Oryzias latipes: one gene and its partner. The protein of the gene in region 1 binds, or shares a complex with, the protein of each later gene. Links are inferred from orthologs where the notes say so. Each region holds a gene or a part of one and is shown on either strand. Other genes may lie near its edges. The genes, in order: gtf2e2 and polr2h.

Evidence for each region.
Region 2: gtf2e2 (region 1) and polr2h share a complex: the UniProt entries of both Homo sapiens proteins name them as parts of the TBP-based Pol II pre-initiation complex. The link is inferred for Oryzias latipes from reciprocal best matches to the Homo sapiens genes GTF2E2 and POLR2H.

What each region holds. Positions count from the first base shown.
Region 1 is NC_019859.2:11,933,139-11,949,072, forward strand, and holds gtf2e2 (transcription initiation factor IIE subunit beta), read left to right. Parts: upstream 1-5,275; 5' UTR 5,276-5,497; intron 5,498-6,186; 5' UTR 6,187-6,191; coding exon 6,192-6,351; intron 6,352-7,145; exon of another isoform or gene 7,146-7,796; coding exon of another isoform or gene 7,797-8,108; exon of another isoform or gene 8,109-8,117; intron 8,118-9,880; exon of another isoform or gene 9,881-10,030; intron 10,031-10,899; coding exon 10,900-10,982; intron 10,983-11,364; coding exon 11,365-11,472; intron 11,473-12,654; coding exon 12,655-12,837; intron 12,838-12,944; coding exon 12,945-13,038; intron 13,039-14,380; coding exon 14,381-14,496; intron 14,497-14,608; coding exon 14,609-14,728; 3' UTR 14,729-15,215; downstream 15,216-15,934. Other genes in the region: smim18 (small integral membrane protein 18), read right to left, coding at 7,797-8,108; dctn6 (dynactin subunit 6), read right to left, coding at 15,392-15,481. UniProt on the Homo sapiens protein: Recruits TFIIH to the initiation complex and stimulates the RNA polymerase II C-terminal domain kinase and DNA-dependent ATPase activities of TFIIH. Both TFIIH and TFIIE are required for promoter clearance by RNA polymerase.
Region 2 is NC_019862.2:11,772,408-11,788,454, forward strand, and holds polr2h (DNA-directed RNA polymerases I, II, and III subunit RPABC3), read left to right. Parts: upstream 1-6,105; 5' UTR 6,106-6,256; intron 6,257-6,403; exon of another isoform or gene 6,404-6,594; intron 6,595-7,298; 5' UTR 7,299-7,319; coding exon 7,320-7,392; intron 7,393-7,770; coding exon 7,771-7,854; intron 7,855-8,123; coding exon 8,124-8,217; intron 8,218-8,319; coding exon 8,320-8,403; intron 8,404-8,556; coding exon 8,557-8,674; 3' UTR 8,675-9,169; downstream 9,170-16,047. Other genes in the region: lisH domain-containing protein ARMC9, read right to left, coding at 343-367, 2,804-2,896, 3,011-3,166, 3,498-3,668, 4,901-5,026, 5,166-5,240; major facilitator superfamily domain-containing protein 8, read left to right, coding at 10,739-10,814, 14,869-15,054, 15,191-15,253, 16,045-16,047. UniProt on the Homo sapiens protein: DNA-dependent RNA polymerase catalyzes the transcription of DNA into RNA using the four ribonucleoside triphosphates as substrates.

The DNA of each region.
Region 1 (15,934 bases):
TGCTTATCTCCCTTTTTTTTTCTCTCTCCCCCTTTTGTGACCTGGTGATACTGTGGTGTTATCTCATTACTCCTCTCGACTGAGTACCCAGTGGTGAAGTCACCTTCCTTCCTCCAAAAGCACTGCATAGCTTTGGTATGATGAATGAAGGCGGTCACGCAGCATCTGGAAGGGGCTGGGACGGCGAGTGTGCCCGTGTGTGGTGATCTGTAAAAAAAATAAATAAAAGAAAAGACACTGCTTTTAGTGTCTGTTTCCAAAATGCAGCAGCTTTTTCAGTAAATCTCAACCACTGAGGAGTTTTTAAAAAAGAAAAAAAAAACACAAATCCGAGATGCTGGTTTCTGCTTTCTCTGTGGGTTTTTGGTGAGCTTGTGTTTGGATGGATTTGACCCTATTTAAAGCCCTTTTTAAATTTTTTGCAGTTAAAGTCATTTATGACATCACTGACCTTTTTCAGAAATAGGCAAACAGGCGGGACAAATAGGGCGGCACAGTGGTGTAGTGGTTAGCTCTCCCACCTGACAGTAAGATAAGATATTCCTTTATTAGTCCCACGATGGGGAAATTTCCTTATTGCGGCAGCAGGACAGGAACAGAGAGCAAAATATAAAAGAAACAAAACTATGGAGTCAGTATAAACACATATATACACAATATACACACATACATTTCCAAAAAAATTACACAGGATGACCATATAATCAGTTAATACACTGGGTAAGATAAATAAGACCAAGCCGATTATGTTGTTTGACGTGGTTCACTGCGACCAGCTAAGGTTGTAAAGTCTGATGGCAGAAGGTAGAAACGACCTGCGGTGTCGCTCCTTCAGACACTTAGGATGTATCAGTCTGACGCTGAAGGAGCTGCACAGTGAGGACACAGACTCATACATGGGGTGGGCGTCGTTCTCCATCAAGGATGATAGCTTAGCTACCATCCTCCTCTCTCCCACTTCCTGTATTGAGTCCAAAGGCAGCCCTAGAACAGAGCTGGCCTTCTTCACCAGCTTCTCCAGTCGCTTCCTGTCTGCTGCCGAGATGCCGCTACACCAGCTGACCGCTCCATAAAAGATGGCTGATACCACCACAGAGTCATAAAAAGTCTTTAGGAGTGATCCCTGCACTCTAAAAGACCTCAGTCTCCTCAGCAGATGAAGTCTGCTCTGTCCTTTTTTGTACAGTGCTTCTGTATTGTGTGACCAGTCCAGCTTATTGTTGAGGTGAACACCCAAGTACTTGTATGAATCTACTCTCTCAATGTCCCTTCCTTGGATGTTCACCGGTGCAAATGTAGAGTGAGTGTGCCTGCGAAAGTCTACCACCAGCTCCCAGGGCCCTGGTTCTGACTTTTCTTTGTGGACTTTGCATAATCTCCTAGTACAGTTTTCTCCCCTTAGGCCTCTTCACATGGTCCAAAAAAGAGAAAAAAGCTTCATATGTTAATTGGTGAAGTTAGTTGAAAATTGAGCTTAATGAATCTGTCGATCAAAGGTGTCCCAACGTAATTTCAATTTAAATTAAAAAACAAACAAGTAAATTCTTTGTATATTATCTACCCTTAGCAAAAATAGTCAATGTAAGTACACTTAGTTTCTGCCACAACTGAGGGAGTACTCTTGAAGTTTCCATAGGCCTACTATCTACATACTGTAAATTTTAAATGTTCAAGTTTAATCTGAAGAAGTATTCAATTATCATACTTCCTACACTATATGTACATGGTCCACATTATACTTATACTCAAGTATACCTAATGAAATAACCTTCAGGTGTATTAATTTTTGCTCAGGGTAATCTAAACAAAGAGATGAAAAACAATCTTGGGAGCGACCCTCAGCAAAAACGAGTAAACTTGAAATGTATTTTATGAAGTATACTGAGTACTGCAAATATACTACTGACCATGTAGCTGTAGTGTAGGAAGTATACTATTGAAATACTTCACACTAAAGTTGAAGATTTTAAGTTTACAATGTATAGATAGTATATAAAAAGTAGACCTCAAGTACACCACCTCACTTTTAGTATAGACTAAGTATACTTGAGTATAAGTACAACAAATGTACTACTGATCATGTACCTGTAAGTGTAAGAAGTATACTAACTAAATACTTCTGACTAAATTTGAAGATTTTAAGTTTACAATGTATAGATAATATATAAAAAGTAGACCTCAAGTACACCACCTCACTTTTAGTAAAGACTAAGTATACTTGAGTATAAGTACAACAAATGTACTACTGATCATGTACCTGTAAGTGTAAGAAGTATACTAACTAAATACTTCTGACTAAATTTGAAGATTTTAAGTTTACAATGTATAGATAATATATAAAAAGTAGACCTCAAGTACACCAGCTCACTTTCAGTATAGATTAAGTATACTTGTAGTACAATAGACTAGTTTTTGGTAAGGGGAATTGTGAGGTAGTTTCATTATGATTATTTTAGGTTAGTATTAAGTAATCTAGTGATAACCTGTTGAACTGACATGATACCAATAACTTTTAGTCCAAAACAGGAAGTCAAAGTGTTTGTTTGGTGGATTTAAACAGACAGTACGAGTCTTGGCGAGTTAGCGCCCCTAGAGGTGCTGACTGGAATTGCCAGCCCAATTCAATACTTCCACCAACTCAACCTGCTGAAATTAGGGTAAAACACAGTTATTTCATTCATATTTGATTTAAAAAAATGCTTTTCTTTTGCTGGTAGTGGAGGAAATATTATTTTCATGTAGTTTTATTCACTCATCTGCACAGTTTTGCAAATAAACACCAAAATACTTTAAAAAAAAATTGCTAAACTAATATCCAATCTTTTATTGTCAACCCACCAGGCTTAGAAAAACAAAATATTTTTCAGGCAAGTATATTAAAATAACTGTGTGCAAATATTTGCTTTAGCGTAATTTACACAGAGCCAGTCTGTTGAGAGAAATGTGCATAAGTGAGGCAGAAAAATTAATGAACCACTAAGTGGTGATGTTGAGCTATTTTCCTCTGGAGATGAGCCATTCCCACTCATGGATGAGGAGTGTCTGGAAAGATACGCAGTGACATTAACCAAATGGAAAGCGTAAAGTAAAGGGAGAAAAAGGATGGGAAAAATATTCATTACTGTACCAACAAATGTAGCATATAGTTGCATGTTTTTAAGTAGATTTTAAAATGCTGAATGAGTTCTCTCTGTGGTAATTGCAACTAGGATTGAACTGGATAAAAAAATATATACATCTTTGAAAACCCTGTGATTTCTAAAACAAACTTAATTAGACTTCAATGTGTTTTTATGTACAGCCTCATTAATAACACATATTTCTGTAGAATAAATAGAATATAGCTCACATTCCCATGCCTGCAGACTGAAATAATGAGGGAATGATGGGTAATTGTTTGGGATTTATGAAATTCAGGGAACTTAGAGTCAAAAAAGCGGCTGGATGGCTGAATGCAGGACTGGTTTGTGGAAAACCAGGGTTCATTTCCCAGGGGGCACGATGAGCTGAATCCAGTGTGGGTCCTTAGGTAAAACCCTACGCGGTAAGTCCCCCTGTGCCGGGTCCCAAGCCCGGATGAAATACAGGCTTGTGTCAGGAAGGTCATCCGGCGTTAAAAAAAATCTCTGCCGAACCACCTGTGCAAATCAGTGAAAGCTAATTCGCCGTGGCCACCCCCTGAAGGGAAACGCCGAAAGGTGAACAACAAGGGAACTTGAGGTCAAATAAGGAGAATCAGTTACAGAGTATGAAACCACAAACATGAGAACTTTTAAACCAGTTTAAATGTAATCTTCATGTTTTTCTTTCCTTTTTTACGCCTATTTATACTTTATCCTTGTTTGCTTTGTCCTTTCAAATGAGAGAATAAGACACTGAAGCCAAATTCCTTGTATATGCCCTCATTATTCGCTAATAAAATTGATTACTAGTCAGAGAAAAAAAAGGGAAAGTAAAATTATTTTTAGTATTATTTCTGTTTACAGTTTGGGGTTTGTTACCTCCAAACTGTCACTGTGTCAGAGTTACACTGCATTACATGACTTTATTACTTATAAAGTAATAATAAAGGGAAAGTAAAATTATTTTTAGTATTATTTCTGTTTACAGTTTGGGGTTTGTTACCTCCAAACTGTCACTGTGTCAGAGTTACACTGCGTTACATAACTTTATTACTTATAAAGTTATGACTCGTAATCAATTATTACTTATAGCGTTCTTTGTAAGACCTACAGAAGTAGAGGAAGTGACAAGGTACTGTCAAGCATTTCACTCTAAGACAAATGGCGATAAGCTTTAATAATCATTAAGTGAAAGTACAGGAAGCAGAATCACAGCTTTTTGTTGTTAAAATAAAACTATGAGTCATCTACCTAAATGGATAACAGAGTGACAGGAGAACCGTAGGGGTCTGTTTACCTCAGGAAAAGTGGAGCTGTCTATTAAATAATGATTCCAATCACCACACTTTGTCAAAAATAACTGATCAGATACATTTTTTTCTTCAAGAAAAAAAAAAAAAAAAAGATAAACACATTTGTTCAAGAAATCAAAAGTTAAATTATTGTTTCTAAGCTAAAAGTGATGAACCATGAGTTTATAAAGATATTTTTAGCAGAGTTTTTTTGTTCATGTGTTCTCGTCTCATTACTAAGTATGTAATGACTTTAATGTCATAGTAATGCTTTACACCCCTTTAGAACTGCAAAAGGTATGCTATCGTAATGTATTTTGTAACTACGTGCTGTAGGCTCCTCTACAGTAAAAAGAAAAAAAAAGGCTTTAAATTAAAAATATTATTCAAAAATAAATCCTGGAACTTTATTAACATTTCACTTAAGTGTTTCATCTTTTAACAAGAAATGAGATTAAACTTTATTGGTCAAAGCACAAAATTTGGCAAAGAAAACTTGTAAAGATTATGTTTATAATCGAAATGGCAATCACACCACAATGCAAAACAGAACATATTACAGTCAGGTGTTGGAAATAATACTTTTAATGTCTTATTACAAACTGTTGGTTATAATAATATCCAATAATTTTCAGTTTAAAAACTGAAAATGTTGGGGGAGAAACATTTGCTGAAACTATTTAATTGTTTTTAAACGTTCCGGCAAGAATTAAAAACTGTGAAACAGAACACTCATTATTTTAGCTATAGTTTCAGAATCCCTAACCAAAATAGCTCTCTTGCCTGAAATAAGTTGACTGTCCTCCAGTCCAGTAGGTGGCGATGTTGAGCTACACAGCTGCGGGTTTTTGCTTGCACGCGGAAGACGTCACCCAAGGAATAACATACGATAACGATAACCGACAACTCGAACACTAAACGAAACAGTTACATGATGGATACAAAAATAATACTTTTTTATTAGAAAGTAAGCTTGAGTTTACTTAAGCTTAAAATTGTCTTTCTATTTCACTTTTTAGTTTATAAATTAGTCTATCGGGACTTATTCGCCACTTTCTGGAAAGAAGAACTCAACAGTAGCAGGTAACGTTGACATGCTAACACTAGGATTAGCATCACATTAGGTGTTAGACAATGCGGGAACATTAATTAGCGGTTATGTGGGTCATGCTGTCACGGGATTCGGTTCTTTGGGGAAACTGGACTCTAAAGGTTCATCTCGATGACTTTTAGCTGCTTATATGAAGTTTTTTTTTTCCCGATAAACTGAAGAAGAAGCTAATCGGACAAACAGCGAACTTCTGTTATATATATGTTTAAATATGTTTTGAGTTGAGTTTTTAGTCCACTGTTTCTGTATTAAGTGTATTTCTTTGGTCACTGTTAATGTAGTAATTCCATGTCTTTGGCCCATATTGTCAGTAGAAGAACCGAACACAATTATTTTTGGCACAAATGGAACACCGTAGTTTTGAAGAACAGAATCCTGTCGTGTCAAGACAATGTTTTAACATCAAATCTAGTTACTAATAATAATCCTTATGCTCTACTTAATATTTGAAGAAAAAATAGTAAAACAGCTGCATCACTGATTAGATTGAGAAAAGAACCAGGTAAACATACCAGGTATAATAGATATGCATGGAGATGATGCACCTCACTGTTTCAGTATTATATTTATTTCATAAATTATATTTAATTTAAACGTTTGAAGCTTAGTAAAACTGCATTTTATCCAGCCTTTTCTGTGTTTACATGCTTTTGTCCACCAGCCTGGATGGATCCAGCTCTGCTTCGCGAGAGGGAGCTGTTTAAGAAAAGAGCTCTCTCCACGCCGGCTGTTGAGAAGAGACCAGCTGCATCAGACTCTGGATCCCACAAGAAGAAGAAGCCCAAGTTAGACAAGGAAGGCTCCTCTGGCTCCAAACACAGCACTGGTAGGTCATGCTTTATATCTGGTTACTGAGCTTCTCCTGGACGTGCCACAAGCTGCTCCGCTCCATTCTGATAAACCCACTTGCAGACAAATGGATCCATGTACGTCTTTGTTTTCCTCGCCTGGGCTGCCATCTGGCGTAAACCTTAAGTTTGCTCACCAATGTTGGGTTGGGTGTGTGAGAGGCTGTAAGCTTATGAGAGAGGATATGCAGAGAGCTCAGTAATGGATGACTGGAAGGGGGGGTAGGGTTGCTCCTTACAGCGCCGCTGGTCCCACTCGCAACTCAGGTGAAATTCCAATGAACTACTGCCACCCTGCAGAAACTATGTCCTAGAAAAACGACCCAGATTTTTTTAATTTTTAGCTAAAAATGACCTTCTCCTAAGTAAAAGACCAATGGAAACGCTTTCACAATAGATCAAAATATGATCGGAGGGGGTCTTTGAGTGAAACTGGCAGATTATTTTTAAGGATTATGTTTTCTTTCTTTTGTTTGGTTTAAATGTTGTTGTTTTTTAATGGATGGATGATGTAACACCTAGGCAATCAAAACTCATTCATCTGTCACTCATAGGTTATTCTGAGTCAAATATTTGAATAATTACGAAAAGCAAAGTGGTCAAAATTCTGCTGTCATTGCTTTTTTTTAAAGGTGTGCACAGATCAAAAAATGACTTCTAACATTTTTATAGTAAATATAAATAAAGCCTAAAAGAATTCTTTGGATGAAAGGACTGATTCATAAGAATCATGAAATATAGAGAAAGAAAATTCAAACTCTTTAACCAAACTTTTTGTTAGATCTCATTTTTATTGATTTTCTTTAGTCTTTTTATGTTTGTCTTCATGAAAATGCCAACATACCACATTGACCAACAGCCGTCCAACGCTAGATTTTATCACTTCATTTAGTTGCTTTTGGAAAATAAACGTCTTCATCTGTTAAAAAAGTTTCAGAAATGTCAGATTTTCCACCTGGTAACATGAGAGTGGCAGCTGATTTCTATACATCCACTACAAACAATTACAACTTTCGGCTCGCCTTAACATCCATTTAAATGAATCATGTTTATTTATAACAATTCTTTTTTATCATACCACAATGTTTTTAACCCAAAAGAAAAGATTTCCATCAACTTTTATCGGGTTTGTGGGAAGCCAAACGAAAACCTTTATTGTGTCTACAAATTCACGACTGTGTGTTTACCATAGAAGAACGGCAAAAAAACACAAAACTAAACAAAGATGACATGAGTCTTTAAAGCCCTAACTCGGCAAACGTTTCTGTGTACAGAATACTCTGGAACATTGATTCATTTTTTTCTTTGCCTCTGAATTGGATGCATGCAAATAGACAGTCTATGGTATCAGGGGTGCTTGTTTTGGCAATAAATTGGGCATCCCAACCCCAAACTCTTCCATTTTCCTTTGTCTGTGCTGCTGCTATACCACCTCCGTGTGGCTCTCCAGCTCCTTGCATGTTCTCGTCATGAGATTGCTGCAGCTTCCCGACCTTTCTTGCTGCAACTGGTGGCGCGTTTTCCCTTTGGCGCAGCAGCCGCAGTCCAGTAACTCGTAGAGAACGGCCAGAGCGGCCAGGGACAGAACGGTGAGGATGAAGAGCAGGAGGATGACGAAGCAGGCGACGTTCCAACCGTCGTGGAAGGGGTAGACTTCCTGTACCTGCAGGGAAACGTGGGACATGGGGATGGCCTCGGGGAGGGAGGGGGGTACGGTAGCTGTGGCGTTCGCCATGATCCGTGGCTAAAAAAAAAATGAAAGGAAAAAAAAAAAACATTAATGGTCTGTAGCAGTTTTTCAAAGCAGAAAAAAGGCTTTTGGAATAACTTTTATTTATGTTTTTAAAAAAGTGCTCGAGCAAGTGCCCAAAACAACTGATTTAATAGCAGATATGTAAATGAGATCAAACAAAATCAGAGAATCATTTAACAGCTGGAACCTGGGCGTACGTCCAGGGCATCAAAAATAGTTTTTCTTACGCTGTTAAACTTGCTGCTGGACTGGTTTAACGCCGAGAAGATCTGGTAATTTAAAAAAAATATATATTTTTCAAAATAAAAGATAGCTGAGACTCAAAATCACCCGATTGGGTGGAAAACTGCAGAATCTGGCGCAGAATCTATTTGCCACATTCAGGAACAGCAGAATCTGGCAAACAAGGAATCTGCGCTTCCGTGTTGGGCTCCTGTGACGCATCGACACAGTAGCTGTATTGGTCATGTAACTTTTCCTGAAGCGATGCGCGCACCAGCAGGGTTTCACTTTATGAGCTTGACATGTGTTTCTCAAAAATGCATCAACATTAACTATAAATTGAACCACAGAAATATAACCTTTATTTTTGTATGTTTATTTTTGTTGTCTTACATTGGACTTTTGTCTTTTAACTAGCATCCCCTAACATTTTGACTAAAGCATACTGATTAAGGTAACTGCAGTCTGAGAATGTTTGAAAATGGACAATTATTTATATACTTAAACGTTTTTGAATAATCTAAGGGGAGACTTGGTCTCTTTTATGAACTTTTTCCTAAGAATTCTGCCTCTTATTTTTGGATTCCTAAACAAAAAGTGACGTCAAATTATATTCTTTAAAAAGCCACTGTGCTTTTTTGTTGCTTCTCTTATTTTTCACGAGCTTTGGAAATGTCGAACTTTGTTAAAAATGTGTTTTTGCTGAGACATTTGGTGAAGTTCTTATCAAATGTTGAATTTAAGCACAAATGTAAACACGATCAAAGTTTGTATTGTGTATAAGTTGGGAATTAATTTGTGGTTGCGTCCGTTTGTCATTCCCCGCCTCTCGTCTCTAACTGCTGCACACTGAGCATCCTCTCCCTGTTAATCAAGCACTAACAGCTTCATCATCACTCGTCGCTATGACAACAGCCTCTTTTATTGCATGTGTTTTGGCCAGCCTCCTCCCTCCCCCCCCCTTTTTCTGTCCATCTCCCCTCACCAATGCTCTCTCGGCTTATCCATTATCCTTCCTGAGGAGTCGCACAAAAACCGGGACGGTGCAGCATCTGTTACCTCCCTCCCCTAAGCGAGCGAGCCCCACCCCGGCCGGGCTCTGTGGGCGGCATTGGAGCCACACATTTGCTTTTTCTCAACACGCATTCCAAAAAAAAAAAAAGCTGTCTGGTTCCTCTCAGTCTCGACTGATTTGTGCGTCCGTTTGTTCGCTCAGGTTTTGTGCGTTTCAGCTGTCACAGGTACGGCGCCCGAACGTGGGACACTCACGGAAATGGTCCCTGGAATGATGGTCCCTGAAACCCGAGGAGCGCAGACTGATCCATGTTTATTTAATCAAGCGTACCCATGAGAAATCCTGGCTTCGGAATATTACAGCTGAGGAGATTGAGGGCTGCTTTTGCCGTTAGCGCGCACAAAAGTAGCTTTTAGAAATGATTGCTAATATCAACTGGAAAATCCTTAAAAAAATGGCAGATCCTAAAAAAAAGTGCCATTTTAAGAATCCTATTCAGAGAAACATGCAGACTCACCTGTCTGGCTGTGGCTGAAGATAGAAGACAGAAGATGCTCTCTCCTCTTTTCACTGCTGCACCTGTCTGTCGGTATTCCCCTCTTCTCAGCCTGCACTCGTCATGGGTTCAGTCCATACACTCCTCCTCCTCCTCTTCCTCCCCCGCCACTCCTTGCAGTGACCCCCCCCCCCCCCCTTACACCCCTTCTTTTCCTCTGCCTTAGCTCCATTTGTTAGCCAGCTTGTCATCGTTGTAACGTCCCGCCTACTCTGCAGCTTAAAGCTGCAGAGGCTCCAGCTCACAGCCTGAATCACTTAAGTTTTCACCAAATGCTAGATCCATTTAATATTCATGTCTTATCAGAGCAACAGATTAAAAACGGCTTAAAAAAACCCAAGGAAATGCAATACTATTTTTAAAGACCCATTTGTTAAAAATCGTGCTTTTGCTGTTTTTTAACAGGGTTTTTTTTCTGGCATTTTTCTGCTGACAGAGGACTTTTATTTTGAAAATTTAGCTTGAAATAGCCCTTTTGAGTTTTTTCTTGATTCAAATCCTCCTGAATTAGAAGTAGATGAGAAAACACCGTCTGAAAAAGATGATATTTGTGACGTGGAAACGGTCGGCGGGCCATGAGCTCCCTGCTCCGCTCCATTCTGATGCATCCACCTGTAGACGACTAGATCCACGAATGCCTTTGCTTTCCTCGCTGGACATTCGGCGAGCATGTAAACAGAGAGCTCTCAGCAACAAGGAGGGGAAAGGGGGGTGGTGTAGCTCCGCACCAACATTCCCCGTCCACACCTTAGAGGCAAATTTGGAATGAACTCCTGCCGCTCTGCAGAAACGACGTCCTAGAAAACGACACAGGTTTTCAGATTTGGGCGTTAAAACGGACATCATCATAATTAAAAGACCACTGGGAACACTTTGACAATAGATCAGAAGATGATCGGAGTGGGACTTTAAGTTTGTGTTTGCCAAAATGGCTTTAATCTCAACCGTAAAAAGCTTTTATTTTGAAATGTCATTCACAGAGAGCAGTAATGGCAACATCAACATCAAAGCAAGCTCCGGGTACAAATTCGGCTGCCTGGCTAAGATCGTCAATTACATGAAGGTAAACATGATGCTTTCTGTTTGTAGTCCAGGGTAAAAAATGTTTTTTTTTTCTCTTTTGTTTATTTGTTTTTTCCCCGGCACATGTTTTTGACGAACGTGTGAAGTTCATTTTAGCCCCCACATTAGCATCCACATCATTGACCTGCTTGTGCTCTCTCCATCCAAGCTGAGCAGTGGGCCGTGTCAATCTCCCCGACTGACTGAATCGGCTCCCACTTCATTCCACCGATTCTCTCTTTGTGTTCTTTGAGCCATCTATCTGTTGAATGCAGCGGCTCCAAGTTACCCTAAACCAATGGAGAGATGCACGGCCCGCCTTTTCACTGAGAGACTCCGATATGATGTGATGTTTTCTGACTTGTTTTGGTGTGAAATTACAGACCAGACATCAGAATGGCGACACACATTTCCTGGCTTTGGATGAGATTCTGGATGAGACCAAACTTCTGGACATCAGTATGAAACAGAAGCATTGGCTCATGACAGAGGTGAGTTTGCTGCTCCTCCCAGCTGTGAAGTGATGGAGTTGGTGTTTTGTTAGAAACATTTACCCAGCATCCAAGCAGCAGCACTGCGACTTCAGTTCGTTTTGAAGATCAACCTTTTCAATGAATGAGATCTGTCCAAAAAATAACAGAGAAATTCCACAAGGATCTGGATCTAGACGACAACTTCATCTGTCAGACCCAGAAGTTTTCAACCGAAACTGGAAGTCTCCTTTTCCAATATTCCTCGAAAAAACTTTATTTTAACAAGCGACTGTAACAGTTACAGTTTTTCTGTTTCATATGATGCTTTATTTAACCCATCGTGACGATCAGCATATATATATCGCTTTCCTTCGCCACTGCAGTCGAGGTAAGTACCGGCTGAGCGCCGCGTTGTCACGGAAACATGTCAACGCGCTGCACCGCGGAAAAAGTAGTCTGCTTTTTGCGAATAAAGCAATCCAAACTGTATAAATAAAGTTCTAAAAAGTGGTTGAATATTTATTTCTTTTGTAAATGACTATGGTATAAGCGGGTTAATGGCCTTTGAAGTCTGCATTAGGGTTAGGGTCTGCCGCGATCTAGCGTCTGTGTGACACGGCCTTAAAAGCGTGAAACTTCCTTTTGTTGCTTTTTTTTATTCCCCAATATTCCTGAATATTTATGATTCATTTATCTTGTTTTTCTTCTGGATTGTAAGGCTTTTAATTCATTTAAAAAACAGCATTCCTCCGCAAAGAGCAGATCTTTGTTGAAGACGTGATCAACTTCCGTGTCAAACCTTCAAAATAAAGCTCACGCTAATTACAGACAGGAGACACTTTTTGGTTTAAACATGTCCTAAAAAACTCTTGTGGAAAGGCCGCATTACAAACCTTGATCATTTTGTTTTGCACAAACACAAATCCCGTTTGGATGCATATACACACACCCTCACACACTTGTAATCAAACACACAACAAAGCCCTTTATCGTCTTGCATTGCAATGTTTTCATGCAGTATTTAAAAAAAAATACGCTTGCTCATTTTTGACCACCTTAATCCTAAATACTGAATAATAAATGACATATTAAAGAAAACCTTTGGCTGACATCAATGTGACCTAACCTGTTTTCACAGAAATGTACATTTTCTCGATTGCTAAATGTGACGGCATGATAGTCAAATAAACATCCTTTCAGGCGCTGGTCAACAACCCAAAGATCGAGGTCCGAGATGGAACGTACGGCTTCAAGCCCAAGTACAACCTGAAAGACAAGAAGGCCTTACTGAGGCTGCTGGACAAACACGACCAGCTGGGACTGGGAGGAGTGCTGCTGGACGACGTGGAGGAGGGGCTTCCCAACGCCGCCAAGGCCATCAAGGTCAAAAAGCATCAACAATTGACGCTCAGTCATAGCATGGCGATGTGTGATAAATGGTTAGTGAGGGGAGGCAAAAATACTAATGAGATGAAAATGACCTTTTAAAGGCTTTGGGGGATCAGATCATCTTCGTCACGAGACCCGACAAGAAAAAGATTCTGTTCTACAACGACAAGCACTGCCAGTTCACGGTAGACGAAGGTGAGTCTTCCTCTGTGAGGATTTGAAAGGTTTAGGATGTTTCTTTAACCCTTCAGATCCTCCTTACATGTAACGAGGTTTTTCTACAAGAGTGTTCAAATATGAATAGTAGCATTTGCTCAAATTCATATTTCATTCTGTGCCGCTTCTATGGAACAAATAGTTTTTGGAATTTTCTTACCGCCACATTCTCCAAAAATCACCACAGTTTGCACACACCTGGTACCCGATGAAAACCACTTTTGGGCATTGTAAGCGACCCCCCCCCCCCCCCCCCATGATGACATCACAGCAGGAGAAACAGACACAGAAATGAATCGGGGCAAAGTGTCATATGCAGTTCCAAATCCACAGGCGATACCAAAACACACTTCGGGAATATACAAAGGAAGTTTGAAATATTATGGGATGGCCACTGGACCTACTGCTTATCAGATGTTTTTGTGTGAAATTTGCAGATTTTCACAAAAATGAAATCACCTGTATTACCATCTACAAATTAAAATTCCTCCAAAGGGATTTTAATCTTCAGGACTCCTCAAACATCATCAGGAAGCTACTGGGAAGAAAAAAAGTTCATTTGAAGGTTTATAGATTTTAAATAGTGTTAGCGTAGCGAGATCACAAAAGTGGCGTTCCCCTATTTCTGCCGTATTTTTTACGAGAATGTTGTGAAAATGTAACGTATCAATCCTTGGGTCAAGCTCAAGAGATCACTACAAATTATGATGTAAGCACGGGGGAGTGGTTAACAAAAAACCTGTGTTGCCATGGAAATCCAAAAACTTGCTTTTCCTCTAAAAATGACAGATCTCTTTGTCACCACCCCCAGGCGACCCAAAAATAAAGTGGTTGCTATGGAAATAAAACCAGCAGGGAAGCTGTCATTTTGAAAAAGGTTTTTCTTTTTGATGAATTTGTCACATCCAGCTCTGACCAGGGTGGGAGAGTGAGGGGGTGTAGCAGCTACTCAGCCAGGACTTTGTTGTTCTAATTTATTTTACAAAATTCCCTATTTTTCCACATTTTTTGAATGAAAAACCTTTGCAGCAAATAAGTAAAACTTTAAGTTCATGTTTTTTATCTGAATACTGTGGGGATCATTTCCTGGTTTAGAAAAAAAAATGTCTATCTTCCTTAAACACAATCATCTGTTGTTTTTTAATGACCAGAACCCTTCATGAACTTTACTTATTAAAAAGAAAAAGTTACTGTTGGGACTTTTGGGCAAAGACGTTTGTGAATTTGAATAACGTTAACAATTTCTGGTAATTGAATAACAAGAGATTCCGCATCCAGACGTTCCATCCTTCCTGACTGCATCTTGACGGCTTATCTGCAGAATTCCAGAAGCTGTGGAGGAGTGTTCCTGTAGACTCCATAGACGAAGAGAAAATTGACGAGTACTTGAAGAAACAAGGCATCTCCTCCATGCAAGAAACGGGACCAAAGAAAGTGGTTCGTGTCAAATACTTCCTTTGCATTTTCAAAATTAAAAAAAAAAAAAAAAACCTATTGTTTTTTTTTGGGGGGGGGCCAAAACGAGCATTCATCCTCGTTCTCTCTGCAGATGACGGTTCAAAAGAAAAAGAAGCAATCCGGGCAGAGGAAGAGACAATTTAAAACTCACAACAACCACCTGGCTGGAGTGCTGGAGGACTACTCGGACGGTGTGCCTGCTAAGAAATGAGGCGGCAAACGGCTGCAGATGGAGGCTTCCGCTCCCAAACAAAGCTTGTTTTTCTCTGCTTGTACTCTCTTCAGTGAACTGTGGTCTTTCATTACATGAAGCCAGCAGCTGGCGTGTCGTGAAATCTAACTGTATGGATCAACTGAGAGACGGCGGTGGAGCGCAGACGTCTCCGTGGATACCAAACCCTTTAAGGAAGGCATCTGTTTAACTGTAAAGACTCAATAGTTTTTCTTTACCGCATAGCAAAGACGAGCTAGAAAAGGGTTTCTTTTGGAGGAGTTGCAGTATGTTCTAGTAGTTTATTAAAGTGTGTTACATTTGTGTTTCACCTGGTGTGAGACATTTTCCTGAAGTAGAATATTTCAATGCTTTTACTTCTGAGCTTTTGGGGAGCGCAAGATTAACTTTGGACCCATTTATTGGAATATTATTTGAATATTTGTTGTCCAATAAAACTGCCAAAGGTGAGAGAGATCAAACGTGAGGCATTTTGCTGTAAATTGTTTATTTCTATGAAAGAGCGCGTCACACAGCGGCGTGCGGAAGGACAAACGTCCCGTTTAGTTTAACAGCACAAAACATGACTGCGACCTATATACAGTTTGCGTGATTTCCTCTAGTCCCCGACAGTTCAACCTTCTGGACGTGCAGCGGCCACTTCTAGCTCGTCTGGCCTGCTTTAACCGTTTTCTTTAAGTGGTGGTAGTTGGGTAAAATCTTCATCAGAAAATCCAGCTGAAGAGTCTGGGGCTGAAACGACAAGAACATTCTCCATTAGCGTCCTCTGGGGTGGAAACATCCCACCCACTTTTAGCTTTGTTGAAATTCCTTCTTTCCTGCAGTTAAGAAAAGGTTGAAAAAAGCTAAAAAAAAGACACCAGCAGAAGGTCTGATTTAGTTATAAAATGAGGTAATTTTACATATTATCTTCTGTATTATATATGCAGGAGAAACGATGCTGCACATGAGACCAAATACGATTAGAAAAACATTCTTGTGCCATTTTCGTGTTGAGGGAGGACGTGCAAATTAAAACTTGTATTTCTGAGGATTTCTTTACTCAAATTGTTGTATCAGTCGCAGGCGGAAAAATGCTGTTTGAAGAAAGCTTGTTGTGGTGTAGAAGCAACAGTGGGCGGGTCACAAACTCCCTGCTCCGCTCCATTCAGATGCATCCACTTGCAGACACCCAGTGCGGCAAAA
Region 2 (16,047 bases), on another chromosome or scaffold:
CCTAAGCTTTGGCAAACTGTTTATAAAAACTGCCCAAAGCATACATGTACGGTACATCTTAATCAGATGTATATTTAAGAGGTGTGGTCTTTGACCCTAAATCCTTTAGTGTCATAATCCAAAGAGCAATATTAAAGGGTGTTCAATGTAAATTAGTTAAAACATTTCTTGAGAAAGGAAATAAATACGGAATTGGGAGGGTTTGATAAGTTAACATAATTTAACATTTTAACAAAGTGGAATTCACTTATTTAAAACATCTTTTAACTTAATTTACAGAACAAATCAACCTATTTTAACAGTTGCATGTTATTCTGTACCATCATTCTGAAGGTTATTTACCTTTAGTAACTTTGCCGCCCTCTTTCTGGAGGATGTCTGTTAAGAATGCATACATTATTTGTTATTTTTCTAACATTAATGTTCTGTAGGATTTAGCTAGAGGCACATGTAAAGAAAGAAGGGAGTGAGAGAGACAGCCATATACAGGATCTTCATAAAGCTTCACAACGGACAATACAAACATGCGTGTTGAACATCCTGTTTGAAAATCTATTTATTTTAGAATCAAAATTATATGTCCTATTGTATGAAAAGACGCAAGTACTGATTCAATATTTACTTACTTTCATTAAGTATTATGCTTTAACCAACACCCTTGTGCAGCAAACACACCTGTCATCTAATATTTTCAGAAACACTTATGCAATGACTTGTGAGTTTACACACATGCACATCTTTCACTGCCTACATAGGGGATGGCTTTGTTTTCTGAAAAGGTTTTAGGCAAAGCCTGACTCATTTCATTTTTAGAATAATCCAAAATTTTAATAAGTATCAAAACAGTATAAGGGCTCATGGAGAGGAGTTAAAAAACCAGTAAAAAAAAAAAAATTAAAATAAAAAGTCTTACACCTCGTCAGTGGCTAAGGTAAGGTGTGTTGCTTGAACATTTCCACAGCTATGTCATTCCAACTTGTCATGAGGTATACATTATTTCTTAAGCCTTTTCTTTATTTGTGTCTCTGTTTGTGGTAAAAGCCACAATTTTTGTTTGGGCATTTTTCCACTTGAAACTAGGACTACTAACAACTGTTAACCCCTTCATGCCTGACTTTATTTCCAGTTATATCATAAAATATTCTTTTGTGTTTTTTTTAAGCTGATCTGGATTAAATGCTGCATCGTGGATTAGCACCATACTGTGAGAAGGGGTTAAAGATATTTTTATTACAACACCCATTTTCTCCTTTTATTAATAATTACAAAAAAATAACAAAGTCGCATTTTTTTTTACATTAAATTGCCAATAAACTGAAAATAGGTTTATGGTAAAATCGGTCTTCCCTGTGAATGAAATGTAGGCATTACATAGTAACTACCAGTAGTTGCTTCAAAGTAGACATAAAAACAACAAAATAAAATGAAAACTTTTATAGACATTGGTAAAGTTTTATGGAAAAAAGAATTCTTGATATCAGCCTATAAAACCTAAAAAAATATATCTTAAAAATAATATTTTGACTTTTATGCCTATTACTATTTGTTACATTTCAAAGCTATGGAAGCATTTGTGTAGCACAATTAAAAATAAAAGTCAAAACCAGAAATGCTTTTTCATTTTCAAAATGAAGCTGCATTTTTTGACTAAAAGTTAAAATGAATTGCAAAATTGCATTTTCGTTTTAATTATGACACAGAATAAGCGTTTTTTTTAAGTAGAAAATGAAAAAGCATTTTGAAGCATCGATTTTTCATTTTAATTTTCGAGTCATTTGATGCAGTTACATTTTGAAAATTAAAAAGCATTTCTATTAATCCATTTTAATTGTCAAATTAGACATTTCTAAATGAGTTTTGCTACACATTTACCAGAGAACTTTTTGAAAATAAAATGTCAAATACCATTTTCTTTATCATTTGAATTAAGTGACAGAATAAGCAGTGTTGACGTAGAAAAGGAAAAAGCATTTTGAAGGATTGCTTTTTCATTTTAATTTTGAGTGAAGAAATGCAGCTTCATTTTGAAAATGAAAAAGCATTTCTGGTTTTGACTTTTATTTTTAATTATGCTACACAATCGCTTCCATACAAAGCTTATAATAAATGAACAATGAATTATATAGTTAAAAAATATTTACTTTTACATTTTTTCCGCTAAACTTAGGAAGAGTACTGTAATTCAATTTTAAACTGGCACTTAACCCAAAATGAAAAAAAAAAAATCATTTTGTTTAGTTTGTTTGTTTGGTTTAAATGATTACATTTTACACCCAATAAATACACTAAATGTTTTGAAAAGTGAGGTGTCAAGAGACGTTTCATCAGTGAGTGGTGGACAGGGAACCTGCTTTCACTTTCTGGTGTTGGTTTAGCTTCTTCTTGTGGATTAAAGAGTACAATAGGTGTCTACTAAGAGGTTTTAAGCACACATGTTTTTTTTTTCTGTTTTCACAACTGCCCCTGTCCATGCTGTCAAAAGTATATATTCCTGGTTTCAGAACATTGGACCATGTCTGTCTGTGCTCACCACACTTACCAGACACTCACTAGTCTATGAGGTTTTGTGTGTGGGGAAAAAAAGATACGAGATGCAAATAAACTCTGAATAAGTGGGAGGAGTTTTTCCTTCTTTTGTTATTTATTCTTACTTTATAAAATTACAATTCTACAATAATAAATGTCTATGCCAAGAGATTATATACTGGTATAATATTCCTAATATGTAACAGGAAACAGGTGCTACACCTCTGTTTTGCCTGACAGTTTTCCCAGCAAAAGACCAGACCAATGAAAAGGATACATATAAAGTCATCAGCCTTGGAGTCTTGGAGGGTTTTAGTGTCATTGTCAGGAATTTGTCCAGTCTTCCCTTCAACTGCTGAATCCAGGTATCCTAAAGGTAGAAATACATTGTTTGACAATAATGTCAAACCCTGTTGAACTCTGTGGTACCCAGTAATAAACAATGAATGAAAGTTAAAGTCAAAGAAAGTTTCCTTTTGATCACCTTAAAGAGATCTTTGAAGGAAGGGTGAACAGCAGGGAAGGGAACAAAAGGCAAAGCATAGTAGGGCAAAAACTCTGCGTTTTGGCTCAACTCTGCTCCCCGAGTTTCAAGATATTGTTTGAAGTGGGAAATCCGCTCTTCAAATTCCGTACGGTCCTGGAGAGGAATGGAAGTTAGAAAAAAAATGAACCCAAATAAAAAATGGTGCCTTTAACCCTTGTGTTATCCTAGGCACTTATACTTTGGGAGTTGGGTCATCTAGACCCACTAGACAGTGCGCTGAACCTTTTTTCTTGAGAACACGTCAATGTGAGGGTGGGGTCATAGGATAGCACAAGGGTTCAACTCATAGCCATATAATTCCAGCTTTATTGAATAAAAAAAAGCAAAGCTTGTAGCACAACCTAGTGGACAGCATTAAAAACAACAAATCACAAGACTACTGTTTTCGTTTTTATGAGAACAAGGAACAATTAGATTCACGTACTTGTCTAACTGGATGGCTCCTCAGTGGGAAAATGGTGAAGTGGACATGAAGGTAGAACTCCAAGCCCTGGGTCTCAGCATCTAAATCTTTCACCTCAGAAGGAATATTCTCTTTCCACAGCTCAAAGAAAACTTTGTGGTCTCCATCGTCAAAAGAGCTAAGAAGGTCTTCCTTCAAGTCAGATTTAAAAAAACATAACAAACAAAAAAACTTGAAAAGAAAATCACTAACAAAAACATTCAACTGTTCTTATGAACATTTTATTAGTAAAATAATCTGCAATCTGGTCAAACATTTTTCTAATAGGCTAGACTAGAAGAAAAAAATGTAGAAATGCAATTTCTCCATATATGACTTGTATATGTGGAATCATTTTGTGTCTGCAAATATCTTGTTCGGGTTTGTTTGTTTATTTCAGGAATCCCCACAAGTCTTCTCCAGAGTAAAGATTATTCCTTCTGCGCTCTATTTTTTTAAATATACACTACTTACTGTTTTACACATAATTAGAACAATCACGATACTACACATATAGAAAACTTCAATCACTTTAACTAACATTCTAAAAGTATGCATGGTTTCAATGCTTTTTATACCTAGAATGGTCTGTAGCCTACACATATTATCTATAACTATCAGGGGGTTGACAATTCTTCTTTCTCTTTCGGCTTTTCGCATCAGGGGTAGCCACAGCGAACAAGTCGCATGGTAAACTTGGCAATGTTTTACGCCGGATGCCCTTCCTGATGCAACCTTCTCAAAGCAACCGGGCTTGGGACCGGCACAGAAGTAGAGAAGGGAACATCAACTTAATTGAATATTAGATTTACAATCCTAAGATTCAACCAAATCGATCTGTCTGAAGTAAGCCATTTATAGAAATAGGTCGACCTATACCGTTATAAAATCATTTCAAAATGAAACAAATCGATTATAATCAATATTGGAAAATACCGTTTCGATTGAGGTACGGTACGTTTATTTTACTATAATGTTAAAACTACCAAGTGCATCACAGCGGACAAAACACGTGATGGCAGCATAAAACTGATCAGTCCGTCATTACTTTGAATTTAGTAAAGACATGACCATACAGTGTGGCAGAATGTTCTGATAATGTTTAATTTGTATTTTTTTGTGGAAAAACAACAGTGGGTTGAACTTTATGAAACTAAAATGGGAATGGATTTGCCATTAACTCTTGTTTACCGGTACTTGTTTGTTTGCACACACATTTAATTTATACTTGATTATTTTGCAAGAGATACAAGGAATGTGGAAAACTTCACCTGCACTGATTAGAACCCAGGTATTTTTCTCTGAGTGGAATTGTTGTTAAAATGAATCCTTACACCCCTGATTACTATCAAGGACTAAGATATCTTATGAAACGTATAATTTACCTGAATGACACGAGTCTTTGAGTCTCTGAGAGCGTTTCCTCGAGGCTTGGAGACAAGTTTGCCTTTGCTTTTACATTCTTTGTCAAAAATTTGAACCGTTTCTTCAAATTCCCCAAACTTCAGGTACTAAAGAGAACAAACACAAAGTGTGTTAATTATACAATCACCATCGTGGAATACATTGAAATGTTAGATCAACTATCAGAATAAACAGATTATGGATTTTAATTGCAGTTTTTTTCTTCACATCCCTATCATGCTTTACCTCTTTAATCATCCCAAGGAGATCGGCTTCAGTTGCCAAGATGTCTCCCATCTTGGCTGTCTTAGTTGAACTCATCCGTGGACCACAGCTGTCAAAATACCGGCCGTCATTTGGGGCTCAGTTTGAAATTCCTTTGCACTTACAAAAAACAGGTAACAGTCTGAACAGACAGAATAGCACAGACAGGCAAAAAGAAAAAGAAAAAAATACTTCAATAATTTCACGTTTTAATGTAAAGATGACCAGTCTTGCTTATTCGAACAAGAGCAAATAATTACAACCTGTATTAACTTGTACGGTTTCAGTTTTCTTTCCGAATTATTATTTGTTTGTTCCAACCGAGGTTACTGTAGTTGTATTCAATTCAATTACATTGTATTTATAGCCCAATATTTACAGCAATAGTCATCTCAATGGGCTTCATTCCGGTAATTGTGTAATAAACATGAATCATAAAGAACATAAAGTCATAGAATTCAATAGCTGATTGCTAAACTAAACAGAAGAAACTAAGTGGACATCCCTGCCCTAAAACTAAGACCATCCTAATGTTACTACTATGATCAAAAAAAAATTATTTTCATCTTTGTATGCATTTTATAGCGGAAAACACGTTAACTATAACGGCAGAGATTTGAAGAGCTGCAAACTGCAGGAAGCTAGTCAATAATTGTTTCAGTCAGGTTTGTTCACATGATGAGCGTTCCTTACCTCGTTTGACCATCTTTTCTTGGTAAGAATCCGCATTAGAAGTTTCATTAAATATTTTATTTATGCTTAAAATGTATATTGGTAATTATTTTTTCGATATAATGACGCTTATGGTAAAAACAACAGCCTTAACATTAGCTAGCAACCGTCCACACAGAGGACGCTAAACGCACCTAGCAACAAGATGACGACAGACGGAAGTTAGTAAAAACTGTCGTAAAATTAGTTCAGTTGTTGGTTACTTAAATTATCAGTTAAATAATTGAGAGAAAACAAATACTTTTATAAAAATCTTTTTTTTATTTGCTACGTAAAATTTAGCCAAAATATTATTCGTTTTTTCCCCATCTTTGACCTATTGTGAGCCTTCAAATAAAACGGTAGGCAAATTTAATTGGTGTTATTTTAGTGATCATTTTTTCTACATTACACCATCGCAACGCATTTTTCCCTTTCTAAAAAATGTATAACATTCAGTAAAGCAAAACATGCGTCTTTCTTTTAAAAGAAAAAAAGAGACAAAAAAACGGAAGTTCTTGTTATGTCAAAGGTCGAACACGCTGGTTCTGCGCGGTACCGACTATTTCGCTTAATAATGAATGAAAATCTATCTAAATCAAATATCTGACGTCTAGGTTACATTATTATCGTTTTTACACGAATTCACCACATTCCAGGGCATACTATTTACACAAAAATACAAGAACAGCACTTGGGGGTAAGTATTATATTTTGTGTGGACAACATGATGCTACAGTTAGCGCGTAAGTGAACATTGTTAAAGTTGTCCAAAGTTGTGACAAGTTTTGTTCACCCACTTTGACACGGTGGGAGAGCTTTGTGATTTCCATTTGTTTTGACCTATTCCTTTTTCTTTTTAACTTGTTTTTAATTAATTATAGTCAAGATCGGGACCAGAACGCTTAGGAGTGACCAGGTTAGACAGGATAAGGAACGAGTACATCAGAGGGACGGCCCATGTTGCCTGTGTTAGCGACAAAGTCAGAGAAGCCAGAATGAGATGGTTTGGACATGTTCAGAGGAGGGATAGTGGATATATTGGTAGAACTAGAAGGATGTTGGAGATGGAGCTGCCTGGCAGGAGGCCAAGAGGACGGTCAAAGAGGAGATATATGGATGTCTTAACAGAGGACATGAAGTTGGCTAATGTTAGGGTAGAAGATGTTCATGATAGAGTGAGGTGGAAAAGGATGATTCGCTGTGGCGACCCCTGATGGGAAAAGCCGAAAGAGAAAGAAAGAAGAAAGAAGAGTCATAGGAATTTCACACTGAAACTGTGAAAAACACAATATAGCACTCACTGCTATAGTGTGTTTTTCTTGATTGACTTGGCTACGTAAAATGCTTTGCTGTGTGACTAACCTTCCCTTTTAATTTTGTTTTATGATGAATCTGTTTTAGGTTTAACAGAAAGGGATAAAGATGGCTGGGATTTTGTTTGAAGATATTTTTGATGTGAAAGACATTGATCCAGATGGCAAGAAATTTGACAGAGGTATGTGGACTGTCACTGTAAAAACACAAAAACGATCTTCACCAGTAGATAGTTTCAGTTGTAAAAGTCATAATTACAATTGTATATTGCATTTTTGTTCATATTGTGTTAAGTGTGACTAAAAAATTGTGTTGTCAGTAATTACAGCTTTTATTTTATTATTTTATTACAGCTAAACATTACAGTCATCACATTACTGAGTTGGGAAACCTTCAATCCTGCTTTTTAGTAGCTTTAAAACTAACACAATAACAAACATAATCATTATATGCATTTGCTTGAAAAAGATGGATATCTAAAAGCGCGTTAGTCAGTTTCATAATGTTTTCAGTTCTCTTTAATATAAACTAATACAGGTTATTATTACTTATACTGCAGTGTCTCGTCTGCATTGTGAAAGTGAATCTTTCAAGATGGACCTGATCTTGGATGTAAATACTCAGATTTATCCTGTTGATCTTGGTAAGAAATTAACAATGTCCTTTATTGTTTATGTCTTGTTTGATCTTAGACATTTGGCCTTTGTGGAGGAATTTTTAAATTGATTATTGGTAGTATTTAGTGAAACTGTCATTCTTCACTCTTGTAAGGTGTTGGTGCAGAATTGATAAGTTATTTTAACTCAGTTTTGACTCAATGTAAAACTATTGTATTAGAAGTGTAGCTTGATCTTAGGTGATTATGTACATTGCTATGATAAATCCAGATTTTTTTTTGCATGTTTCAAAAAGGGGACAAGTTCAGACTGGTGATTGCCAGTACATTATATGAAGATGGAACGCCAGATGATGGAGAGTACAATCCCCAGGATGATCGACCATCTAGGCAAGGCATTTAAAGAAGATAAATGAACATCCATGTCTTTCAATCTGTGGCAGATAATGTGTGATGCTTTTGATTCATCTTCCATTTTTAAATTGTTTCTAGGGCAGCTCAGTTTGACTATGTAATGTATGGAAAGGTCTACAAGATAGAAGGCGATGAGACCTCAACAGAAGCAGCCACGCGTCTGTAAGTTCTACACAAATGCATGTAGATCATTACAATCCTTTATTTAAGTTAAAAGTCAAGTGCTGTCAATTTAGTGATTAGTAAAAATTTAAATAAACTGTATGTATGTGTAAATGTTGATCAAGTCCTCTAATGATGTGCTTGTTCTTTCAGCTCAGCCTATGTGTCTTATGGAGGCCTTCTCATGAGGCTGCAGGGAGATGCCAACAATCTACACGGCTTTGAGGTAGACTCCAGAGTCTATCTCCTCATGAAGAAGCTGGCCTTTTAACCCCCCTCCTCTGTTTTCTACCGCCTTCATCCACCTTTGTAAAACTGGGATCTAGAAAAGTGGAACATATGAACATCTTAGAGACAAAACACCATGTTTTTGTAAACCTCTGTTGTATTTTTTATAGTTCCTCCAACAAACTACACTGAGGTCTGTGATTTCCACTTGGTGGTACACTGTAAATAAATATTTCTTTCTTTTATACAAAACAATTACAAGTGTTGATTAACTTCATTTTATAGCGATGAATACTCTTCAACAGTGTTGCAGAACGCAGCAAAATGAAACCTGGAGACAGAAAATTGAATTATAGGGAAATAAGCGGCTTTTGTGCGCCAAACAGGACACTTAAAGACTGTTATAACAAATGTCACAAGATGGGAATCACTCTGACTCACTGAATACTGGTATGTGCACACAAAGCTTTAAACACAAACAGAATGGATTCATGTTGTAAAATAAAGTTTTGCCCTTTGTGGTACTGACATGTATTTTAGCATAAAGTCTGGATTTGGGCTTTATGTAGTTATCCAGCTGATATGTGATCAGTTGCATCTCATGATATGTATGACTTGTCTAAAAATTTCAATGCTTTTGCTAGTAGAACAGTTTAAAATCTTCATCTCTTACTTCCATTTTAGTTTTGTCTGCCTTGTTTCAGCAATGACATTTTCAGCTGCATTCTGCTGCTTATGGTTCACTTCAGATTGCCTGAGCCAAAAATCTATTTTTTTTCTATTAGTACAGCTCATAAAAATTGACATGCCATCAGTGAAGACCTTAAATGCAAATAATGAGAAGTTTCCATTTTTCCAACCAGCCTGACCTTGAGTCAATTTCATGAAGGGTTTATTATATTTAATTGAAGACTATTTTATTGGATTAGTCATGCAGTAAGAACAACACGGGAATACATGCTCCATACAGACAAAACATAAATGACATTCCTTCATTTTGAAGTTTCTTTATTTTTCTAAAATAAATTATAATTCAAATGAGAATCTGGAAACCGGAGAGGATCCCACTTTTTGAAAAGTACCTTTTTACTCAGGCACTGAACAGAGGATGCAGTGGAATCTTGGATGATGAGGTTTATAGTTGTCACCAAACTTTGACTCATGTTTATTTTAATGTTTCATCCAGTTGAACAGTTGACTCCTGATGATCATGAAATGCTGTGAGGAGAGACAGCAGCTTCATTTTGCTAACCAACTCTTAGGGCAGCAGGAACACGATTGAGGTTTAAAAGGTTCTGATATTGCTTCTGCATTTTGATTTGGACTCAGATAAATGAGGAGTCATTGTAATACATTTTAACTTGATCTAATCTTTGCTTAAAAAAAATCCCTTTTGCTATTGAGGATTTGTTATTTTGTCTGGTTTTATAAATATCTGACAGAAAAATTGCTGTTACATATCCTTCATGGTAAAATCTGAAGTTTAGTTGACTTTTTTTTATCATGCAAGCTTAAATAAATGTGAAAACAGGGTAGTTCTATCATGATCCCTGACAGCATTTTGTTAGACTTTACTGCAGGTGGTTACATGACATCATAACAAATGGTTAGGCTCTAATCAACTTTTCCTTTTTTTTGTATCTGTTAAGGCATCTAATTAGTTTAAAAAAAATGTCGGTGACGAAATTGATCTAAATTGGGAACTGGCTCTGAAATCAGTGCAAAGCGCGCTCCCGAGACAAGACTACTCCTTTCCAGGAGTTCGTTCCTGCACAACACCGGAAAAGACGGTGGCCATGGAGGGGCATGTCGAATTGTTTTCTTACGAAAAAGCGTTGCTGGACTTTGATTGACCGTATGTGAAGGATCTTCGGGCTCCTCTTTGGTCTTAGAATCGCCCCAGGCATTGCTAAAATATCGTATTTAAATCGTGGAGGAAAATGCTGATGTATTTTGAGCTTTTCTCAGATGAATAGCCAGGTTTAGCATCTTCCCCAGCTTTAATTGGAAGCCTCGCTCTGTGGATTAGCTCAGCTGTTTGTCAAAGCATGAGGAGCGCGTTCAGAGAAATGATAGAGACGGGAGAATAGCAGACCACACCAGCAAGATGGATAATCGCCGTAAGAGGAAACTGACATTCGCTACTATTGGACTCATTTTTCTTCTTAGCGGTGTGGAATATGGTAAGACCCCTTTCTGTCTTTCTGACGCTCTTTATTATGGACAGACGGGTGATAAGGATTTAGTTATTAGTTATCGTAAACAGTGTTTTTCAACCTTTTTTGAGCCAAGGCGCACGTTATCCTGGACAAAAGTCCCGCGGTACTCCAGCATCCAAAAATTAAAAAAGGAGAAACTCTAGTCTGTATTGATTTATAGTCCACCCACAATCTCACGTGAATTTTTGTGATAATTGTGGTAGAAAAAGCTGGAAGTTGCAGCTGTTTTTGTTAGTTTTCAGTAATTGTAACTTAATTATTTGACATTTTACCCTGGTAGTTGTTTTTTTCCTCCTGTTTATTAACATACAATTTTATGTAACCTCACAAAAAACATTAGTCTTTCTAAATATTGATTTTTTTTTTTAAATGTTGGTAAAATAAATTTTTTATTTTTTTACAATATGATCACAAATGTGTTTGATAAATTTTACACAAAAAACTAACATGTTTATGTTTATTGTAGCTACACAAAAAGTGAAAATGTTGAAGTTTTATTAGTTTTTCTCTTGTCTTAATCAAAAATTAAGTCTTTAACAAAAATGTTTTATTTCTTTTTGGATTATTAAATACGTTTCAATTTATTTTAAATGTGTCTGTTGGCCACTTCACCTTAATCCTGTTTCTTAAATGTTGCTATTACTTCTACTTAGGTTTAACTTTTCATTTTTTCACAAGTGATTGAAGTCTGAAAGCGAATTTGTCTTTGAATCCAGACATTATTAGAAAAGTGTTTCAGTTAGAAAGATGACTTGGACCAAACTCTGGGATGTTTGGTTGTTAATAAACACAAAGCTTGAAGGAGAACTAAACTGTTTATCTCTGATTTCATCAAGAAGATTTAAAAACTGTTTGTGTTTTCGTTGTGGTTTCAAGATGTTTAACAGGGAAGACTCTTTGTACGCCAAGATGCTCTCACTTTAACGCTATGCACCATGGGAGATGTCGTGATGACAGACAGACTCGCTTCTCTGAGCTTCATTGTTTTGTCGACTTGTTCCACGGTCTGACATCAGATCCCACGGAAAGCTACACCGCTAAAGACAAGCTTTAGCTGTTTTTGTTGGAACTGAGAGACTTTATGAGCAGAATCGGGACAAGCATGTGAAGACTTTAACCACTTCTGATTGGTCGTATGATTGAGCCTCCAAGAATGATTGGTGGAGACAGTTAAAGGGGCAGGACTTTTCCGAAAACAGCTGAAGCTGTGGTTAAATCGCGTTACCTTCATTCTTATCAAAGTGTCTTTTATAGAATCAAATAAACACAAAGAAAAATGTATTTTATGATCTTTCATATTCCTAACCGCTTAGTGTTTTATCAGGCCTATTTGGATGAACACAGAGCTGATATCCTGGAGATGGAAAATGTTTTTAGATCAGTGAAAAATGGGCAATTTCTCATGGCACACCTGACCATCTCTCACGGCACACCGCAGCACACTGGTTGAAAAACACTTCTAAAACAGTCAATAGTTTGCTTATAATCATGTTTTATTATCCACAATGATACAGTTAGAATTGCAGTGATTATAAAGAGTCAAAACTGATGCATAGCCTAAAAAAATTGAAAACAAAAAAACTCCAGATATGCGTTTTTTTTTTTTTTTTTTGGCAAACGTTCACTCTCTTAGGTTTCTTCCTTTTTTGTTTATTTTTATTTTTTATATGCACCCTAATATAAAATCAGACACTGACAGTTGCAGTGAAAAAAAAATAATAAAAACAATAGAAACATCTTGGATCAAGCCAAACTTTATTCATAAAGCCCTTTTCAAACAACAGTGTTTTACAGAATTAAAATTAAAAAAATCTTTCAACCTCAACTAAAATACAAAACAAAAATCAAATACCTTTACATAATAATAATAATAATAATAAACAACCACAAATTAACCTCACAGAAAATACGTTTTCCCCCCACAGATTAGCACAGGTGGATTGGCAGTGAGGTTTTTTGCACAGAATGCCCTTCCTGACACAATCCTATGTTTTATCCGGGCTGGGGACCGGCACAGGGGGACCCAGACATGAGCCCTTTTGTACGCTTAACCAACTGGGTTATCCAGCTGCCCTGAAATGACCTATAGATAAAAATAGAAAAAGCTTTATGCTGAAGTGAGAAAATTATTTTCTTGGGATCTGTCCACACCAGCAAATCAAATCAAACTTTATATCTAAAGTCCGTTTACAACTCGTGCTACTCAAAGTGCTTCACATAAAAACATAATCAAATTTAAAAAAAAAAAGGGCAAAACAAATATTTTGTTTAAAACCTACGCAATGCCACACCGCCCCTTACACACAAACCATGGTAAGAAAAATGATAACCTCCCCCAGTCAAGATCACAAAGGACATCTCCCCAGGATCCCCTCTTATCAAAGCGAGCAGCCAGAGCTAGAAGATCCCACTGCAACAACCCTGTTCACTAGGACGGCCGAGTCACTGGTGTGGAGGATTCCTCTGAGGAAAACACTGGAGTTTAAACAAAATGAAAATAATATGCATAAAGGTAAAAACTAATGTCCAATGAAACCTTAAGGCATTATGAGCACGTATAATCAATGAAAATACATAAGGGTCTAATAAACAACAATCCTCCTGGATAAAACAAAACAAGACGAATACATCAAATGTAATTATCAAATTGTATTTCTGAAATTCTGCCTAAAGCCAGGATATTCTGATCAAAAGATCCTTCAAATGTGTGTGGTAGGCTGATTAAAAAAAAAAAAGATACGGTATTTCTTTTTTTGTGTATTTGTTTATCCACTTATTCATTTACTCTAATTTTTGTGATCACAAAGGAGTAATTACTTTTTAATTGGCTCTAATAAAACTACAAAATAGGGATCTGTCTTTTTCTGTTATTAAATTGGACTTTTTTCATTGTATCTTTGTCTCTTTCAGGCCAGAACAAATTAATTTGAATTGATTAAAAAAAATGTAAAGATGAATGGGTATAGCATTAATGTGGACACCCAGATAGAAGAATCAGGCCATTCAGAAAATTAAACCAGAAAATACTTTGGAGATTCTTTGACTCCTTGATTACTGTGGAAAGGAAACAAGTCACTTGCTGAAAGCTGTTTTTAAATGGTTCTACTTTAAAAAATATAACATTATCTCTTTTTAAATGATTATACATTCAAAAATGAATCATTTTCTTTATCACACAGTCCTTGTTGTGTCAAAACCCTTTGATAAAACCACATTTCAACCAAATACACCTTGGTTTGAGTGTTGAGGTGGAAAACAGGGCTTATCTCGACGAGTTTAAGAAGGCTATGTACTTTTAGGGTTCCTACCCCTCAAAAACACGTGGACTGTGATTTGAAAATCAGGACTTCAGCAAAAAAAACCAATAAAGTCTTGCTAAAATATGTTATTGCCCTACTTTTATAAACTGGTTAGTCTTTGCTTGGAGGTCAACTTATTAAATCTTGCTGAACAACTCTGTAGTATTTAGATCTTTCTATGTTTTAGTTATAAAAAGGTCTAACGTTTTTAAATCTGTGCATATTTTATTATTTATCCCTTTCAATGATATAAAGAAAACAAAAGGGCACAATTCTACATTTTCCAGTATGAAAAAGTAAGTTATATTCTTTTGCACATGGTTGGCTGTGTTGAAACAGTGGAATCTTCTTTTTCTAAATTGCAAAAGAAGTGGAGTTATCACTTCCTCTGCAATCTTGACAGCATGTGACATGGGACACTCCTATTGGCTCCGGGTTGGCTTTAGTTGGGGCAATTGTTTGTCTGTGTGCTGATAAAGCTTCAGTCATTGATGGGGAGAAAGAGCAGTTTCAGGAGCTCCCACTGGGAAAAAAAAAAAAGAATAAGCTGGTTAATAGTTTCATTCTCATTTCATATTGTGTTAAGTAAAAGTTCACATATTCATATTTAAAAACCAAAAAACACAATTGTGCATGTTCTTTAGTCCCTCCATGGGTAGTTAAGAACTAACATTTTCTCTGTTTCATTTGTCTCTTTTTTTTATTTTTTATTTCCTCAGCTGTGATATTACCCACCATATGGAGATATTTGCAGACTTTAAATGCGGAGCCTTATTTCCTGGGTTTAACACTGTCTGCATTCAGTCTGAGTGGCCTGCTTTCAGGACCGCTGTTTGGTCACTTGTCCGACAGAACCCAAACCACAAAGAAGATCATTTTGTTTGCCAACTTTTTCGAAATAATTGGTAAGTCTACAGTTTCTTCCATTCTTTCTCCTCACTTGGATTGTTTGCATTGTTAGACTTTGGCTCCCCGCGATTATGAAACCTTAAAGTTCCAATATGAGTTTTGAATAATATTTCTTATCCGTTTTATTTTTAGGTAATTTAATGTATTTTATGGGCTACTCCAAGTGGCTTTTACTGTCCAGTAGATTGGTAGCAGGTAAGTGACAAAAACTAACACTCTTTTGGGATGAATAGAATATACTTATCTCACAAAACAGCATGACCCATTTTTAAATTTACATAAATCAGCAATATTTATCTTCTGGGTATTTTTTTTTCCATTCATAGTTAATGTCTATATACTCATGAGAAAGGTAAAGTCAATTAATATAACTAAACTTCTCTTTTTTTTGTTGCCATCATTGCATTCAAGTCAATTACAGCCTGAAAGCTAAATGCCGTTCAGCCTCAGAAAATAAGTTTAAATACACACTCCAATGAAAGTAGGATTTTTGGGTGTTTTAATCATGTTCTTATAGCCTTTTTCTCATGATGGAGCACATATAGAAAGAAAATTATGCCTGAAAATACACATTTTGCAGATGCAAAAATCCCATATGAAAAAGCTTGTGAGTGTAAAGTAGAGGTTACTATGGCAAGCTACGAGCTCCCTGCTGCGCTTCTTGTAGACGACTCAATCCGTGTACGTCCATCTGGCTTAAAACTCGTGGCTGGATAGCTCCAATAGTGTACAACATTTTTGTTGAACCAGTAAAGTAAGGTTGGGGTTAGCTGTAAGCTAGTGGCAGAGCATGTAAACAGATGGATGATGGGAAGCGAGCACAACTCTGAGGTGAATTTCTGATCAACCACTGCTGCTATGCAGAAATGATGCCCTTGATTAACAACGCGCTTTTTGATATTGGCCAAAAAACGGCATAATCATAATTAAAAGACCAGATTTTTGTAACTTTGTTAGCTTAGTTAAGTGATGAAATCCATTTGTAGGAA